Linked DNA regions of Coturnix japonica. The protein of the gene in region 2 purifies or fractionates together with the protein of the main gene of each other region. This does not show direct contact. Links are inferred from orthologs where the notes say so. Each region holds a gene or a part of one and is shown on either strand. Other genes may lie near its edges.

Region 1 (6,163 bases), on a different chromosome or scaffold from region 2:
CGCAGGAGGGTGCGGCGAGAACTCACGTCAGGGGGAGATGGTGGCCTCCAGAGTCCACAGGGGTCCCCGGCACAGCTCGCGCCAGCTGGGGAGGAGATGCTGCTGGAGAAAAACAGGTAGGGGGGTAAATATGGCGTGCAACCCATTTTTCCTCCCACAAGCACACACCTCCCAACCCCAAACCATCCGGCTCTGGCCACAGAAGGATGTGGACGAGGACCACAACCAACCCTTAACTCTCTGTAAGGGGCACTGGAAACATGCCCTGAATTATCAGGGTAGGTTAGGATTGCAAAGGCAATTCAGCTACAACCCCTTTTCTGGAAAGTTTTTCATCCTTTGGAGTGCAAGTTTCTCACACTCTGGTTTAAAATAGCCCCTGCCCTGCTCCCAGAGGTGCCCGGCTTTAGGGAGCACAGCCAAGTGCTGGCTTCCAACCAGCCCCTCCTGCAGCCAGGAGTCCCACAGATCTGAGGCCTCTCTGCTCTAGCATGAACTAGCAGGAAAAAAAATAGAGTGGAGAAAAGGGGGAACATTTCCCAGGGGCAGTAACCCCCCGTTATTCCCTGCTTGGGCAGCGGAGTGCTGTCTGGCAAGGTTCCAGTCCCAGATGGCTGCAAGCGTGGAGGCAGTTCCTCAGCTGGGCCGGCCCATTCTTGTGGTTTTAATAAACCACCAGAGTTGTCGCGGGTGACCAAGCCTTCCCACGAAGGCGGCTCAAGGCACTGTTGGTTAGGAGGAACAACAGCCTTGTACTGGCGACCAGACCTCAGGTCCCTTCCAGCTCCATTTAGTTCCATCTCTAACTGCCCACCGATGCTTTCCCCATGGTTCCCTGTCCCTGGGACCGATCCTCTGCCCCTCACCTCATCTCAACCATCGGGCATCTGTCACCCCCTGTCCCCAGCTCTCCCTCAGCCTGCTGGAGCAGCTGGCGGGCTTCACCAGGGGAGTCTCCATCTGCCTCCCCACTAGGGCGTCTCCGGAAGGCGGTGAAGATCTTGGAGCCAAAGCGAGAAGAAGAATCGGAGCAAAAGGGAGAGATGCGGGCCCGGTCAGGGCTTCCCTCCTTGCTGTCCATTTTGGCCAGAATCTCCTCCACGGTGGTGCCTGGAAATCGCTCCAGCTTGGTTGCCACAGGCACTGGTGTCACCTTAAAGGGAGCTGGACCTTTGCGGGAAGGCGTCGATGGGGCCGGGGGCACCTCATCACTGGGGGTTGAACACGAGTCCTCAGGAGTGAAAACTGGTGGGGATGGGAGCCCCTTCCCGTTGAGGGTCTCAGGTGACTTGATGGTGAAAGAGGGGCGTCTGAGGGCCACCCCAGAGCCACCCCCACTGTACGGCTGGGGGCCTGCCAGGCGGTTTATCTTCTCTGCGGAGGGCAGCTCAGGACGAGAATGCCGTGGTGCTGGTGGGGGGTGAGGCAGGCAGGGTTTGGCAGGCACGGCTGGCTTGGGCAGCACACGGGGCTTGGGCCGGACAGGAGGCTTGGGGCGAGGACTGCCTGTGGGAGAAAGACGAGGAGAAACATGGGGAGTTGGAGAACACAACAACACCTGCAGACATCTCACTCTGGGTTAAAAACACATATAAGCCATTCAGGGAGATTCTCACCTTTCTCAGAGCTGCCAGCCGCCAGTCCGGTCCCCCCGGAGGCACAGGGCAGTGGGGGGTGCAGGGACTGGGGCTGGGAGGCCATGGTGAAGCCGGAGCTAATGCTCAGCAGACTCAGCGTGCAGTCAGCCCCTGCAGAAGAGAGAGGGGAGAAACGTCACGGAAGAACCTTAGTCCACCCTGTCCACTGGGGCCTGCTGCCCCATTCACCCTGGTGCCCCCGGTCCCTGCTGTACCTGCAGCATGTTGCATTGTGCTGCTGGCTTCCCACTCTCTTATACCAGTGCAGCACACCGTGCCAACCCACTATCTCACCGCCAAGCCTCCGTTCGGCCGTACCACCCTTTGTACACTGCCCCAACCCGCCGGCAGCACCCAACCATAGAGCACACCGTGCCAGTCCCTTGCACACCTCAGTAAATATGTGCACCCCAGCCCTGTTCACCTGGGCTGCCTTCTGTGTGCGGTGCCAGCCCCTCGTCCACCCGCACCGACCCCCCATCCTACACCTGGGGCAGCCCCCCCACCCGCTGCCCGTTCCCTCACGGAAGTGCTCCGCACACCACGTCAGCCCATACCGCTCCCACGTCCCGATCCCCAGCCCCGTCGGGCCCTATAGGGTCGCCCCCCCCTCACCTGCCCCTCGGTCGCCTCATGGCCGGGTCTGGGGCTGGAGGGGAGCGGGCCGCGATGCCCAGGCCCGGTTTGGCGTGGCCGCACGGCTCCCCGTGACTCACTGGCGCTGCGGGGACAGGAAAAACTCGCTCGTGCCTCCTCCTCCTCGCGGCCCTGCCCTGCCCTGCCTTCCCCTCGCCTCCTCCCCGCTCCCTCCTTCCCACTCGCGATGCGGGGTCCCCCCTTTCCCCCCCCCTCTCCCCTCGGGCCCCTTCTCTCTTCGGGCTCCCCCCACCCCGGCCAAACGGAACCGGAGGGGGCACATCTGGAAGCCATCGTCCCCCCCCTCCCGCCCCTCCTCCCCCCGCCGAGGCTGTTTCCCAACCCCTTGGCAGCCCCGGGATGCTGACGAGGCCCCGCTCGGTGACGAGGCGAAGGGAAGCGGGGCGGGGGGGGGAGGTGTGGAACGGGGCTGGAAGGGGGAAGGGAGACAGGGGTGCCCCCTCCCCCCTCCCATCCTCCGGGGCCTGCCCGCGTTGTCACGGTAACGCAGCCCCCGCTCGAGTGGCCGGGCGGGCCCGGGAGCGCCGCCATGGAAACGGAGCCCCCCGCTCCATCGGCGAGGAGGGGCCGCACGAAGGGCCGGGCGGCCCGTTGTGTCCTTCGCAGCCCGAGCCTCGGCCCCGCCGGGCACGACGGGCTGAACGGCCTCAAGGACCCCGACCCCATCGCCACCCTCGTGCCCAGATAACCCCACCCAGCTGCCCGCCGCCCCTCCCCCGTTCCGGTACCGTACCCACGCCGCGCTCCCGCCGTGACCCCTCGCCCTGCCCGCGCTCACCCGCCGCCGCCGCCGCCGCTGCATATTCATGAGCGATGGCCTCGCCCCCTCCCCACCCACCGCGCCCCCACTCGGGCCGCGCCCACCCCACGTGGCCGAGCAGAGAGAGCGGAGAACTAGAGCGGCGCCGCGTGGCACCTCCAGCGGCCATAGAGCACGGGCTGTGCGGGGCCTGAGTGTGAGAGGGCGGTAGAGGGGAACCCCGGGGTGCGGCGGCCCCACAAACCGGCTGTGACCTACAGAGGGGGCGGCCAGGCCGAGCCCCGTCTCCCCGAGCCCGTTCCCCTGCAGCCTTTGACTCGCAGCCAGGCCGCCATGCCGGGGTCAAGCAGGAACGCTGATGAAATGACTATCACCACCACCACCCCCAGGCACGGTGCGGCCCTCCAGGGCACAGAGAACATCCGCACGGCATCGGGATCGACCGCCGGCCCTCCATTAGGAGGCTGATGGAGACTAACAGGATTAGGGAGGCCGCAGGAAGGGGCTCCGGCTGCTAATGGATGGGCTGTGAGTGAGCTCAGCCCCTGGCTGCGGTTCAAGGAGGCCGAGGCGATGCCGGGAGAAAGGCGATGTTAGAAGGAAGGCATCCCAGCACCGTGTGCCCCTGGGGAAGAGGAGCCCGGCCCACCCCCACCTCCACACCCACACTGCAGTCCCGCCGCGGGTGTTTTTTATTCAATTCGAGTTGCCATGTGAACTGACCCAACATACAAAAAGGAAAAAAATAAGAGACCGAAACAAACCCGAGTATTTAAAAAAAATAAATTGATGAGAAACAGGGCAGAAGTGGGATCGAGGCTCCTTCCTGGGCCTCCCCTCTGTGGGGCTTCACTCTGTAGCCAGGCACTGAGGGGAAAGGGCTCAAGCAGTGAAGCTGGGCACCCTCCTGTCCCCACTCCGGTGCCTCCCCTCACCTGGCAGCAGAGGTAGGAGGAAGGGCGGCCAGGCAGGTTCGGAGCCAGCCAGAGCCCAAGAGCCAGACCCCTCCTGCGGGCCGGCCCACCCAGTCCTCACGCTGATCTGGGAACCAGCCTGGAGCCAGCGGGGACAGAACTAATCCGAGCCGGATCCGGAATCCTCTGAGCTTTGGGCCGGGCTGGCGCCTCTCTCATCCTCTGAGTCCTGTGGGAAGAAATGGGAAGTCAGGACAGTAGAAGCAGAGCAGCTCATGTTCACCTGCTCCTCTGCCAATAGCAAAGACCAAACTCAGTCCTCTGCTACAAGACTGGATGTACATGCTATCTGGAAGAATATATGCCTGTAGGGATGAGGTAAAATAAGACCCAGCAAATCCCACCACCAAACCGCCCTACTACCTCCTTCTTGCTCTCTGCAGAGGAGCTCTCGTCGCTGGAGACAAATTCCTTGCTCTTGAAGCTCTCACTCATACTCTTGGCAGAACTCTTGGTGGAGGACGAAGACTTGGAGGCAGCACCCTTCTTCTCCCCTTTCCCCTTCATCTGTTTCTCCTGCTTCTTCTTCTTCTTTTTAGACCTCTCCCTGTGTGTGTGTTGGCAGGGTGGAAGAGACAGAAGCATTACCTTGCTGACAGCTCACTGGTCCCATCTCACAATCCCCCAGCCTCAGAGAGGCCCAGCCACCACAGCAGCTGAGGACAGACAGATTCCAGAACAGTGAAGCCCTGCCACATCCCTCTTGTCTGCTCAGCATACTCACATCTTGGAGCTCTCTGACTTATTGCCCACGCTGTACTCTTTCATGGCCTTCTCATAATCCCTCTTGGCATCTTCTGCCTTGCGATCCCATTCCTGCAGCAAAAGCAGGTTAAGTGGCACTTTGTTCCCACACCATCCACCATCATGAGCATCTGCACCACCAGAGTCCAACACGATCTCCACCCATGTCCCTGACCACCTGGAGACCTTACTCACACACCAGCTGAGATGTCAGCTCCCCACTGCCACCCTCCCTTCCTGATCCGTTAATGGAGCAGCAGGATCCCGAGACCAAGCAAGAGCATCCTGACATCCACCTTCCCTTCCTACATACGGCTTAGCAATCCACACTGGAAGAGCAACCCACCTCTTTCTTCTCCTTAGACATGGCTTTCCAGAGCTCCCCAGCCTTCTTGGACAAGTCTGTGATGCTGATACCAGGATGGTCTGACTTGATCTTCTCACGGTTGGCATTCAACCAAAGCATGTAAGCTGACATGGGTCTCTTGGGCGCGTTGGGGTCTTTGCCTTTCTTGCTCTGGAAAGCAGGAAGTGGAAAGAACCAAGACTTGAAATACCCCACACACTAAAGTCTTAATTGGTTACCCCAAGATGATGCCTCCTGCATCCCACCCGTAACTCAGCTACTTAATCAGACAGATGAGTTGTCAGCTCACACACACACAAAGGTGAAAGCACCCACAGAGTAAGTGGAGTGGATGTGAAGGACCTGTGGGGGGCAAGTCCTCCAACAATCAGAGGGTACTGCCAGGCTCAGACACCACAATATACTTTGTAAGTGTTTCAATCTAGACTCATCTGCAAGATGAAGTAAAGCCTGCAGGAAGCAGAAGAGCCAGGCTTGGACAACCCAAACCCAGCAAAGCACAATGAGGTGGTGGGATTGGATCAGACCACAGCAGAAGGCTAACGGGAAGCAGCTCAGCTGATGTGCTGTGACCTGGATCTGGTGTTGCTCCAAACATAGGAGCAGCAATCCATGTTCCAAGGGCAGTGAGTCCTGATCTACACAACTCTACCAGCAACAACTTCTCACCTCCATATGCTTCTTACGGGGCTTGCGGTCTTTGACAATCTTGGCCTTCTTGGCTGGCTTCTTCTCACCTCGGTCACTGTCACCATCCCCACTGGAGGAGCTGGCTGAGGCATTGCTGTCAAACCTGTGTGAAGAGACCTGGTTTCAGGGAAAGCTCAAGATCTCAACTCCAGCAAGATGAAGCAGGAGGTAAGGGAGTCGTAGCAGTGGCAAGCACAGAGCAAGACTTGCCCCTGAACTCTCCCATCCTCCAGCAACTTGCAGATCGGAGACTTCCTGAGCTGAAGCTGTTCTGCTTGCACTTAACAGCCCTCAGGGGACTCTCTTTCCACGAACATGGCTGATCATTTTGAGT
Region 2 (5,483 bases):
TGAAAAGCAGAACTAGTTTTTTGTTTTGTTTCTGCTTCAAAACCAAATACTGTGCTAAAGAACTCTGCCACAGCAGTGGCAAAGTACAGAGGATCTCCCTTTTGTTTCAAGAGGATCTTTCTCCAACCTGCCTCCTAATACATTCCCCTCCATGCTTCCCTCCCTGTGGAGCTCAACAACTTCCTCCTGAGCTGCGGTTTTCCTGGCCTGCCAAAAGACACATCACGACCCAGAAAGACTTCCGTCAAACCAGCACCTGTTGAGACTGGCAACAAAAGGCAAGTGCTCTCCTCCTACTCCCTGATCCTCAGTTAATGCAGAATATACATGGTATGGTAGACACAATTCTGAGTTGAGAACTCCAACACAAAAGAAGAAACTGCTTTCTAGTAAGAGATAAGCCTCCAACAAACTACAACAACTACCCCGAAAAAGACAACACGCAAAACCCCCCCAAATACTGAAAACTCCCAAATTAATCTTTCTCAAGTGGTTTTACTCAGTAATGACATCCAAAAATTTTATTTCCCTGAGCATTAATGGCCAACTAAAACTTACTTTGCCCTGCCCAAATTATAAGCCACCCTTAACCACTCTATTGCACACAGCATTGCATTGCTATTACTTTAAATTGTTAACAACAAAGTGCAACCTTTCGAGCAATTCAAAGTCCTACATCAAATACACTTAGAGAAAAGAGATTACAAACCCAACTGATTGTACACAGCACTATTTCAGACATCCATCCTCAGGAAGACCTTTCCTTGTAAAGTAAGTTACCAAATCCAGTTTTAAGATAGGGAACAGACCTAGATTACAAAAACAATAGCTTTAAGAATACTTACATTTCCAGCTGTATTCATAACAGACTTGATCTCCCTTTTGCATGCTTTTAGTGACTTCATCTGGATATAGGCTCTCACCTTATACTGTTTAAAATTAAATTTGTTATATTAGAAACAGTAACTTGTGCAGGTTTGCAAGATGGACCATACCTAGAGATTTATTATAAGATTTCCTATATACATTGTAAAATAGGTAGTGAAAGTCTGTTTAAAAGGTTCTTCTAAGGAAGAATTTCTATTTAGAATATCAACAACAAATTTATACAATTCCTATCTGCAAGAGGCAAACGTGCATTTTATTCACTGGCAAACATTCAACAGCTTTACATTCAAATACCAAAACATCAGCACATAAAACAACAAATTAATTAAAATAATTTAACCTGTAAATCCCAGACAGTTACCTGTTCAACCAATAAGCAAAAGGTGATAGTGAAGCATATTGTTTCTTCACTCATTTTCCCAAAGAGCAGTACTGGGAAATAAAACCTCACTGATTTAGACTGTCTTGCAGACAAACAAATGTAAGATTATTAGAGCTAAATGCCATTTAACAAAATTATGTTAAGATGTAGGTATTGAAACTGGGATTTTTCTTAGGTCAGTTTCTCCTGTACGTGGATCTTAAAAAAAAGGGTCAGTTAAATTCATTTTTCTGACCTACAAAATGAAATTGAAGATGACAATATCACAATTCATGCTGAGCTAGATTTGAGGCAGGCAGCTCTCAGTTTTAAGGAAGACTGAATGGATATTCTTGTACAAATCACACACACACCCACCTGATGTATTTTAGATTTAGCAGCTTCTATTAAAGCTCCACTTTCAGCTTTTTGATTGGAGGAATCTTTATTTGTATTATTACCTGACTGTCAAAAGAAAACAAAAAACAGAAATAAATAAAAAAGCATTAGGAGCTTATGAAGGAAACCGTAAACTGAACTTAAAAGGTGATTGGTAAAAACAATCTCTTTTAATGATGAAAACTGATATTCAATAATGTTAAAAGAAAAACAAACAAATACAAAAATGTCCATATATTCCACCAAAAACTTGTAACTTAAGCTTTGCAATCAAAACCAAAGAAGGAGGACATCAGCCTATGAGGTACAGAGCTCTATATGAAGGTTAGCATTACGCTAATCTGCTCCAGCATTGAGGAATTCTAAGAATGCTCTTATTCAGAAATATAGTTTGCATGCTCCTGATTCTCTTCTCCATATTTTCTCTGGCAGAACTATTATATACTCAAAAATAAAGTTGTATCTTAAGTGTGACATTTTATCAACAGGAGAAGACAAAAGTGTCCACTTTCCACTTCCAAGCCACTACCCATTCTATAGTAGTTTCCAAAAGGTACATATCAAAGATTGCATTTGAAAGCCCACCTCATACTTCCAGACAATACATTAAAGGAATTTTTGACTTCTCACCCTGTGGCACTAATTTCACTGACATTTCAAACACAGAGTATCACACAGTCGTCATCTGGGACACCAGGAAAACCAAGTATATTTGGCACTGAAGACAACTGACTTTCTAATATAAGTCTCTGACTTGGGACACTTCTTAGCTCTTGGCACAAAAAGGGTGGGAAGGAAAGAACATACAGCTACTGTACACAATTAACTTGGTTATTAAAATGTGGCAGTTGTCTGAAGTTACAGATATCTTAACAGCTTTAAAATTCTGAACTATTTTAAAAGACTACTTTTGGATTTAATAAAAACATACCTTTGGTAAAGACAGCGGCATTCATGCCATTTTAAGCTTACCTCATTTTTTCCATTCTTGCTGTTATTGTTGCCCTGTGAAATCATTTTTTCCAGGACAGCAAGGAGATGCAAGGCCTTCTCAGCCTGGTAAGTCAGCAGGTATAAGTCCACAAGCAGGAAGCACACAGCCTGGGCAAACTTCTCCTCTATATCAAACAAAAGTAGATCAGTATTAGGACTGTAAGATCCTTCCTATCTAAACAATCACAGAACAAAAAAAGCAATAATTAGAAAACCACTTTAACAGCTGCAAAGTGCATCTACACAATGTTATGAGAAAAACCAAATACTAAATAAGAAAAAAAGATAAAAAAGCAGACACCTACATCACACAGACAAGTATGTTAACACAAAGAGGTAATTCTTTCATACCCATGTCATCTGAAAGCAAAGACCAAAGACAGCTTAAAAATCACTTCACATTGATTTTGAGTACTGATCTAAGCACACTGGCACCAAGGATCCAGCGTCTAAAGAGACTGATGGGCCATAAGCCTATACAGAATCTTACAGAACTTAAGGATTCCATACAAACACATCTCTGCATGGCTGGTTTCACAGAGTAAGCTCCACACAGGCATACTGAGAACTGAGGGAGAAACAGCATTATACTTACTGGATTTGTTGAGACCCACACATACAAACACTTCATCCCTGTTGCTTCATAAAATACCTCCTGAAGTTGTCAAATATCTGTTTTAGTTTTGTTATACTCATCTGCTAAGTGTCTCTGAAGCACCTTCCCACCCAAATTCAAATGCTGTCCTTATAAGTAAAGATTACTCATCATTCCTAAGCCTGTCTTTTTTTTATTACTATTATGTACGTTTACAAGTCACTTTTCTGATAAGCAGAGGAAGATCATTTACTCTGCCTCGTTACTGCACAAACAAAACTCTTCTGCCTACACACCGAAAGGCTCTATAAACTGGTACAGCTTCTCTCCAACTGATATAGCTTCAGTATACTGACGCAGATGATACAAAATAACAGCTTGATTGTAGTAAAGCATACTATTTTCAACATCATCTAAACCATCCATTTCTTCAACAGCAGAGTGAACCTGAAAAAAAACCCAAAACACACAGAACTGAATCTTGTTTATCCTTAAGCTTTCCAAACTTATGATGTTAAAGCATCAAATGTTTATTATAGAAAAATAATCCAAAGGTACTAATGAGCCTAAAGATAGGGCAGTAACAGTTACAAGTTAACAAAGGGAAGAGGCAAAACTTGTCTTCCTATTTCACTGGAAGATCCCATCCCCATTAACAATGCTTAAATATCATGCAGTGGTTGCATTACCTGGTTCTTCAGCTGGTTCAGGGTTTGTCTCAAATTGTCTGTTGTGGTCTGGTTACTTTTACAAAACTCTGCAACTGCAGTATTCAAAGTTATTTTGTAGTCATCTTTGTTTATGTCTTGAAGGGTGTTCAGGTGTTGCAAACAGGCATCATAATTTCCCGCCTGGAAACAGCAGGCATCACAAAGGGATTAGTTTAAACTTTGTATCCTCTAATAAGTCAATAATTTTTAATGGCAGCCTCCTCCTCTCTCTGAGTCTAGAGAGCAATGTAGGATTTCCCTGACCAACACAAGTAAACAGCTCCACACCAACTCCATTTGTCATGCAGACTGAAATGTATGAGAAGCAAGTCAAAGCTGAGGTCCTAACTAAAACTGAACAAGAATTCAATGGAGAAAGAACAAATAGAACAGTTAACTATTACAAACATGTTTCTACAAAAACTGTTGTTCTTTTGGCGTCATTATATCAAGCTTCAAGATTCTTTATTTCCTCAGTTTCCACAATCTGTCTCCATCACACGTACACTGAGCAGCTGCCTGTCTAACTCGTGGCCCACCTTTTTATGTTTGTCTCTCACTTCATCTTCAGACTGAGTTCCAGTTTAGCCCCTGGATGTCTGCTTAACACAGGCCGGCAGAAGAGGAAGGTTACACACCTTTCCTAACTTTCCCAAGAGAGCCTTAATTTATGTTGCTGAATGAATTATTCAAGAATATTATGCTCACCTTGAGGTGCCATCCAACCCAAGCCATTCTATGATACGATTCTATGATTCTATGGAAATGTACGCACTGGCTTTGTAATACAAGCATTGATTTTAGTATAATAACTTGCTAATACATTCTCCGCCATGCTAAGAAAACTGGGGAACAAAAAATTCTATCAACCAGTTTAGCAGTTATGTGGTAGAAGAGAAGCTTGGGCTTGGCTGTGTCTTACCAGAAAAGCTTGTAATGCACTGCTCGACAACTCCTTCTCCTGATCAGTGATTCCTGAAGTACCAGCTCCATCGTGCTTCTCAGCACCTTGGTCTGACAAAGGATGATAGAAAAGTTTGTAAACACAACAGAAGTAATTCAGCTCAAAAAACATTGTTTGTGCCCGTTCTCAGGATCCTCCTGCCAGCTTGTAGGGAACAGCATTAAGAAAATGCTGCAACTATAGTTTTGCTATGTTCCCTTCTAGATGAAGACCAGTCCAGCATGTAAGGTTTTATTTGTGATGGTTTGAGCAGTTGTACAGTAATCTAACATGGTTTTAATTGTCTTCAATTTCTTTGCAATAAAATTCAAAACTACTGGAGGGAAAACCAGAACAACCAGTGCCACACCAGACCAGCTTGTATCTAGAAACCTCAACTCACATGTTCACGTAGTGTTTTTGAAACAAAGATTATACACCTGCCATGGCTTCCACTGCTGCAGATAATTAATTCTTCAATTCCACAACAAGGCTTTTGCTTGAGCCCGTATTTTGCCATGTTAATGGGTTTGGTGGGCACTGTATATTCAATGTCTGTCTTTTCCTAGAAAGAAAGGATGTAATGCAAACTCT
Region 3 (6,277 bases), on a different chromosome or scaffold from region 2:
TTTGCAGGCATCAGCACTGTTACAACACGTCTTCATTTGATGCGTGCTACTTTGTCATCCATTTTTTAGTTGGATTGTTGAAAAACAACTGTTGCACTGTACTGATAGAGACTGTCTAATGATAATAATATAATAATCCTGCAGAAAGTTCTCCTTCTCAGCTCTCTAAGTACTTACTTTTCCTTCTGCCTCCTAGATTCTAACTAGTGAACCATGACTATTGTATTAAGGAGGAATCCAAGCCCTTATAACTCTTTTGGCTGGTATATTAGCACCCTTCCAATGAAGTGCAATGTATCAAGGAAGAAGTTAAGGAACAGAAAGGTTTGTTTCTTTCTGGTGCATTTAATCAGCTTCTCCTTGCTTCTCTTTTAATGACAGGCTGCAGACATTATTACTACAGCTAATGACCGAGATTGACAAGAATGTTCTCTATACTCTTTGCTCAGGCTATAGACAGTTCTGGGAGGTCTTTTCTATTGCACTTTCTACAGGTAAAATTGCAATCACAAGCACAGAAGTAAGCAGCATCCTCAGATACACAATGAAGAAGCTGTATGGGAAACTGCTAATCACAGCCTGAACCTCTGATTAATCAGCTGAGGCAAATAAGGTCAGCTGTGGGAGCACAGGTGAGAGTAATTTAGCTGTGCTCCTGGAAGGGGTGGAGCTCGACTCCACCTCCTCTAGACCTCATTTAAGGGCTGACCACCACTAAGGCAGCATCTCTTGGGGATTGCTGCCTGGTGGAGATTGCTTCAGTATTTCCTATTGAAGGCAACCATGTTGGTGAGTTTTCCTTATAAATAACAGTAAATTCAATTTATGACAACACCTAATAAAAAGTTTACATATCTTTCAAGTGCCTCAAGCTGGACTTGAAAGTAAATGTTCAATCTGACTGAACAAAAAAGAAAAAGAAGCCTAAGATGTCTATTTCTTTAGTGGATAAATGAGTATTCAGTGAGGCATTAAAGCTTTCTGTAGGACCTGGGTTCTAAGCTTGTTCTCATTTACTCTTTGGTCCTGGCTTAATGCTGGAATAAGGAAAATAAACAGTGTTTCACAACACGTGCAAGGAGGATAAAATAAAAAGCATATCATGTTTTAAGGAGTTCTGGCTAAACGTGACAGTGCTAAAAAAGAGTATTTATCCTTTTGTTTCTTTGAATATAATCAAAAGTACAGGGAGAGCATATGTATTTTATAGTCGCTGATGAAAAGATGGAAAGCTTTGTTATTAATTACACGTGAATCTGATGTTGTAGAGCTGTTAAGCCACCAAGTAACATAATTGTTTGCTTCCTTTGCTTACAGGCCCTCGTTCTAAGATGCATAATTCCTGCTGCTGAGCCTTTTGAGTGCACTCCTGGCTGTAGGTGAATGACTCCATGCTGGGAGCTGTGGGACATGCCTGGAGTTCAACTCACAGCACCCAGATCTACTGAATATCTCCCACTCAGAGCCTGAATTAACTTTGTTTTATATCAGCCCCTCCAAGAGCTACAACAGAAGGTAGGATGGCCAGAACTGTAGCTCCACGCAGGGAGCTTTCAACCAGCTGAGATCTCCACGCTGCAAATTGCAGCTTGCCAGGAAGAGCTTGCTCCTACATCTTCATAAACAAACAAAAGCATTCCCTGCTATAAACAAGCAAAGCAAGCAGCTGGTCCTCATTGGAAAAGACGTTACATCCATTTCACAAAGGAATCCGCAGATCTTCTTCTTCATGCAAATATTTTGGGGCAAACAAAAAGCAGCTGTTTCTGTTGCTTTATACCTATTAGCAGGGAAACAAAATCCAGGATGCTTGTATTTCTTGTAAGGAAAACATCCTCTTGGCATCGATGTTCGTTCAGATCTCAAACTGTTTAACACAGGCTGCATGAATCTGCTTTTGCTTTGTGTTCAGCAAGAGGGTAGAAACCTTTTTTGCTCATTAAGACCTAAAAGCAAAACAGCCGTTGAGGAGCTTGCATGGGTTTATAACAAAGGTTGTGAAGTTTAGAATGTATGTTTTATCTGCTCTGTGCTCCCAGCTCATGTTAATGTGCGGAACGCTGTTAAAGAAAGGAATAATGTATTGGAGTGATGAAGGCAGCCTTTAATTACTGCTGGTAGGGACCTCTGGAAGGATTGAGGGCTGGATAATAGAAGGTGCTTGTATTGCTTGAGCTGGCATCTCTTGGAAGGTTCTGCCTGGTATCTGAGAGCTACTAAAACTGAACTAAAACCCATCTGTGATAATGGCTGAGTGGAAAATAAGAGCTTGGCCTTGGATGTCACCCGCCGGGTGGATGTACCACAAAATGTCACCTCCCAGGAAAAAATGAAGCCGTTCCCTTAGAGAACGCATCAGTTCTATTACAAATGCACACAGTAATGCCGTGCTTTCACAGCATTGCATCACAGCAGGAAGCGATACATGACTGCCCTTAACAGCATTTCCAGTTTCTACAGCAAACCAAGGAAAGCAAAGTACAACCACCACCACAGCGGCGCGCCGGCGCGCTCCGGTAGGCTCCGCCCCCTGCACCTGATTGGCTGCACTTCTTCCGGTCTCCCCCCATTGGCTGCTTGGCGCTGCTCCCCCCGCCCCTCCCGCGCTTCTCTCCCGCCCCGTCCGCGCGCAGCGCTCCATACTTGGCGATGGCCGGCGAGCCGCGCTCTGATTGGTTGAGCTGTGAGGTGAGGGCGGGGCCGGCGGGGCGATGACCCGGATGTTCACTCCTAGGCAACGGCGGAAGTGGAAGGGCCGCGGCCTGCCTCGGAACGAGGGAGAGCGGAGCGGAGCGGACCGGGAGGCGCCGCCGTTGCCACCGCCCAGCGCAGCCCCGCCGAGCCGCCATGGTGAGCACCGTGCGGGATCCGCCGCTTCCAGCCCCGCAGCTGGGCCCTATCGCTTCCTTTTCCCTCCCACGGGGCGGCGGTGAGGGAGGCCCCGGCTGCGGCCTGCACCGGGGGGAGGCGGTGGGGGCAGGGCCCGCGGGGGGCGGTGGGGCAGGGCCTGGGGTAACGCAGGGTCTGGCGGCTCGAACGGAGCCGGGACTGGCGGCCGGAGCGCTGCCTCCAGCCCCGCGTCGCACCGCAGCTGTGCGGAACCAGGAACCGGCGGCGTGCGGGGCGGCCGAGCCTGCCCGGGCAGACACCGCTGCGGTGTGTGCGGCTCACACGATGAGGGTTGGAGTGTCTGGCTTCTGCAGCCGTGTAGCGCAGCCTGGCCGCGATGTGCTGGGGGGTGAGTGCACACAGAATGACCCGGGTTGGAAGGGTCCTCAAGGATCATGTAGTTCCAACCCCCCTGCCTGGCAGGGCCACCAAACATACACCTTTACTAGATCAGGTTGCCCAGGGCCCCGTCCAACCTGGTCTTGAACACCTCCAAGGACGGGGCATCCACAACCTCCCTGGGCAGCCTGTTCCAGGGCCTAACCACTCTCCTAGTGAAGAACTTCCCCCTAACATCCAACCTAAATCTTCCCTCTTTTAACTCAAGTTCACCCAAGGGACAAAACCTTCGGTTTCCCTTTGGTGCTGTGCGTGGAGGGGGTGCAGCCCCTGGGGTCTCATCTCCTATGGGCTCACCCAGCACCTAAGGGTGGAGATGTCTTGCTGTGCCCAGCCTGCCTGGCGGGGTGCCCACTGAGCCCCTGTAATACAGCGTACCTGGAGGGCTGTAATTGCTCCAGTGCTTGGTACTGCTCAGGAATTTGTGGTTTGATGTTTTTTAGGACTGTTCAAATATAGTTAGGTTCAAAATGTACCTGGTTACATGTAAAGACTGGTTTAGTAATCAATCCTTTGCTTCAACTGTAAGAATTTCAGAGGCAATATCTTATCCTTTCCTCTGGAGGCTGAAGGTCCTGGTGGTCCCAATGCTTATATGGCACAGGATGAAGATGTTTGATTTCTAGTGGAAGGTGAAGAAAGCTTATGATCAAGATTCTGTGCCTGTTGGAACAAAGCTGTGCTTGGCACCCAAGCGTGGGATTGGCGTGATGGAGCATCTAACTTCACATGTGAATGTTAGACCAAGAGCCCTGGCTGAAGTCTTTGTACACAAGACCTGCTGCAGGATTTATTAGACAGGAGGCCAACCAACTGTCCTAACTTAAAAATCCTCACAGAGAAAGAACTGAAGGAAAACAAGCAGGCTTCATGTAAAACGACAGTGGTGTTACCTGCTGCTTTTAAGGGAATGCAGAAGTATGCTGTAAGAATGATTCAGTTGAGGTGTGTGACTTCGTTACTCCTTAGGGGAGATAGAGCACAAGCCCTTTAGGAGTTTTTTGAGTGCTGTAAGCTTTTGCTGTCTTCTGATTTCTCATGTTTAGTCATGGAAAGCATTGGGTACAGGAGAAACCTGACCAGGATCTCCAGTACTGTGCTAGGCTCAGCTGTTGGGTGGACTTCAGGTAGGAACCTGTGGCAGCTGCCCCGTTATTTGTGTGTTGTGGTGGCTGTGTACACACCCGAAGGTTTGTTCACTGAGTGGGGCAAGTGGAGTGTGGTTTATGCAGGCCTACTGCAAGAAAGGTCACTGGGCTTGGTTACAGGAGACAAATGAGCTGTGGTGATGTGTTAATAAAGCCTTGCTCTTAGAATCAGCATTATGCAGACAATGCAATTCTGGCACCCAGTTTCAACTTTAGTTCCCTTCTGGTTTTTAGAGTATCCCCAGGATCTATTGCTTTTGTAGACAATACTCAAATGTAGCATGAAGGAACTAAAATAGGTCTGGCACTGACAGCTGCTGTTTTATGTGGTTCATACCAAAGCAATGTAAGATTTGTGAAACTAAACACTTTTTCATCTCCCTGAATTCTGAGTCTCTGATTGTGATTGTGTCACTCTTGAAACTCATGGCATCAGCTCAGGGAAAGTTTTCAGTGCCCACAGCACATCCTTTAGTCCTTGTACCATCTAAGAAATCCTCGTTCGTGTTATTTTGTAGAGTCCATGTTTTGTTAGCCACGTATGTGAGCTTAGATAAATGCTGTCTTAAAAGCCAAGTTCTCCAAGTAAATCAAATTGGCGGGTATTGCTGGGATAGGGAATACTGTCATTGCAGTGATGATAAATCTTTGGCTTGAGAATATTTGAACCACAAGATCTTCAGATGGGATTTCCTCATATGGTAAATATATGTGCTGATATCTTATTAGTTAACATCTGGGAATAAACCGGAATGAAAGCACAGTTTAACTCTTTTGAATTACTATTTTTAGTGCTTATTACATTAGTAGCTCAATGATTCTCTTTGGGAAAGATATGTTCTGCATTAATCAGCTGGACTTCTCTGTTGAGTTTCCCATGCAAAGGATGGCTGATGAGCTGCAGGCTGTGCATGGAGCGTTCTCCTGCCTGCCCTTTGGAGGTATGTTTGGTCACATCCAAATGGTTCCTCACTCTAATTCACACTGTAGAGCTGTCACTCAGACACTGTGCATTGTAATTTCTTTCCAATTGATTTATGTAAGGAGCTCTGAAGAGTTTGCAGTGCCCCTCCAAACCTTTGTCTCTCTTCCCCTGGTGCACAGGGTCCAAAGCAATTGCCTCCAATGTGCCCATTTTTCCTGATCCTTTGCCATTTCCAGCAAGGAAGAGGGAAAATTGCACTTAAAACCATGTGTGTGAAGGAGCAATGAATGTCTGGGCTTTATAAACCTTTTCCCACCTCCCTGGTCCATCTAGCTGTGCTGTGATGCAGGGTTTGCTTGCTGGTAGGTTATGTTTGTTTATTTATTACAAAGCTTTTCTAACTTGAACAGGAATTCAAGACTGAATGCTGGTCAAGCAGGTTTTAAAGATGTCTCCCTGCTGTTTGAGCTGAGAGGTTTTATTATGAGGAGAAAATGGAGAATGCTTGAGGAAGCTGCTCTGCTTGTTTCCTAATTATAAAGTTGTAATTTTCCGCAATGGATGCTGTCGGGGTAGTGCCAAATGGAGTGGCAACACAATCCTTCTGGCCGTTTAGATGGAATAAATCTCCTAAGTTCAAGAATCAGAAATAGGATCTGTTTCCTATCTGTGGTTGTCTAAAATAGGCTTTTATTTAGAATTACTTTAATTGCATTAGGTAATACCTGGTGCTTGGTTTCCTAGAATGGTGGTATCAAAGCATCAGACTTCCTTGTATTATTTGGTTCTCTTCTTTGGCCCCACTCTCCTTTAGGATTTAGAGTGGAAGTGTGCAGTGTGCTGTGAGCTTGTGCTCTATGTGCTGCCTCATCCGAGCTGGGCTGAAGCATTACAGAATACATCTGTAGGCACTTGA

Evidence for each region.
Region 1: the proteins of CNOT10 (region 2) and TNKS1BP1 purify together in Homo sapiens (affinity purification with mass spectrometry; 4 studies listed by BioGRID and IntAct, with this or other methods). This does not show direct contact. The link is inferred for Coturnix japonica from reciprocal best matches to the Homo sapiens genes CNOT10 and TNKS1BP1.
Region 3: the proteins of CNOT10 (region 2) and CAPZB purify together in Homo sapiens (co-immunoprecipitation; 3 studies listed by BioGRID and IntAct, with this or other methods). This does not show direct contact. The link is inferred for Coturnix japonica from reciprocal best matches to the Homo sapiens genes CNOT10 and CAPZB.

The regions. Positions count from the first base shown.
Region 1 is NC_029520.1:7,745,243-7,751,405, forward strand, and holds the start of TNKS1BP1 (182 kDa tankyrase-1-binding protein), read right to left. Parts: upstream 3,632-6,163; 5' UTR 3,073-3,631; exon of another isoform or gene 3,028-3,072; intron 2,723-3,027; exon of another isoform or gene 2,617-2,722; intron 2,359-2,616; 5' UTR 2,253-2,358; intron 1,749-2,252; 5' UTR 1,702-1,748; coding exon 1,617-1,701; intron 1,507-1,616; coding exon 867-1,506; intron 103-866; coding exon 27-102; intron 1-26. Other genes in the region: FACT complex subunit SSRP1, read right to left, coding at 4,129-4,197, 4,392-4,575, 4,753-4,844, 5,119-5,289, 5,809-5,932.
Region 2 is NC_029517.1:37,322,658-37,328,140, reverse strand, and holds part of CNOT10 (CCR4-NOT transcription complex subunit 10), read right to left. Parts: intron 4,961-5,483; coding exon 4,869-4,960; intron 4,088-4,868; coding exon 3,926-4,087; intron 3,684-3,925; coding exon 3,533-3,683; intron 2,767-3,532; coding exon 2,621-2,766; intron 1,715-2,620; coding exon 1,628-1,714; intron 930-1,627; coding exon 846-929; intron 1-845. UniProt on the Homo sapiens protein: Component of the CCR4-NOT complex which is one of the major cellular mRNA deadenylases and is linked to various cellular processes including bulk mRNA degradation, miRNA-mediated repression, translational repression during translational initiation and general transcription regulation.
Region 3 is NC_029536.1:4,121,836-4,128,112, reverse strand, and holds the start of CAPZB (F-actin-capping protein subunit beta), read left to right. Parts: upstream 1-2,716; 5' UTR 2,717-2,847; coding exon 2,848-2,850; intron 2,851-6,277. UniProt on the Homo sapiens protein: F-actin-capping proteins bind in a Ca(2+)-independent manner to the fast growing ends of actin filaments (barbed end) thereby blocking the exchange of subunits at these ends.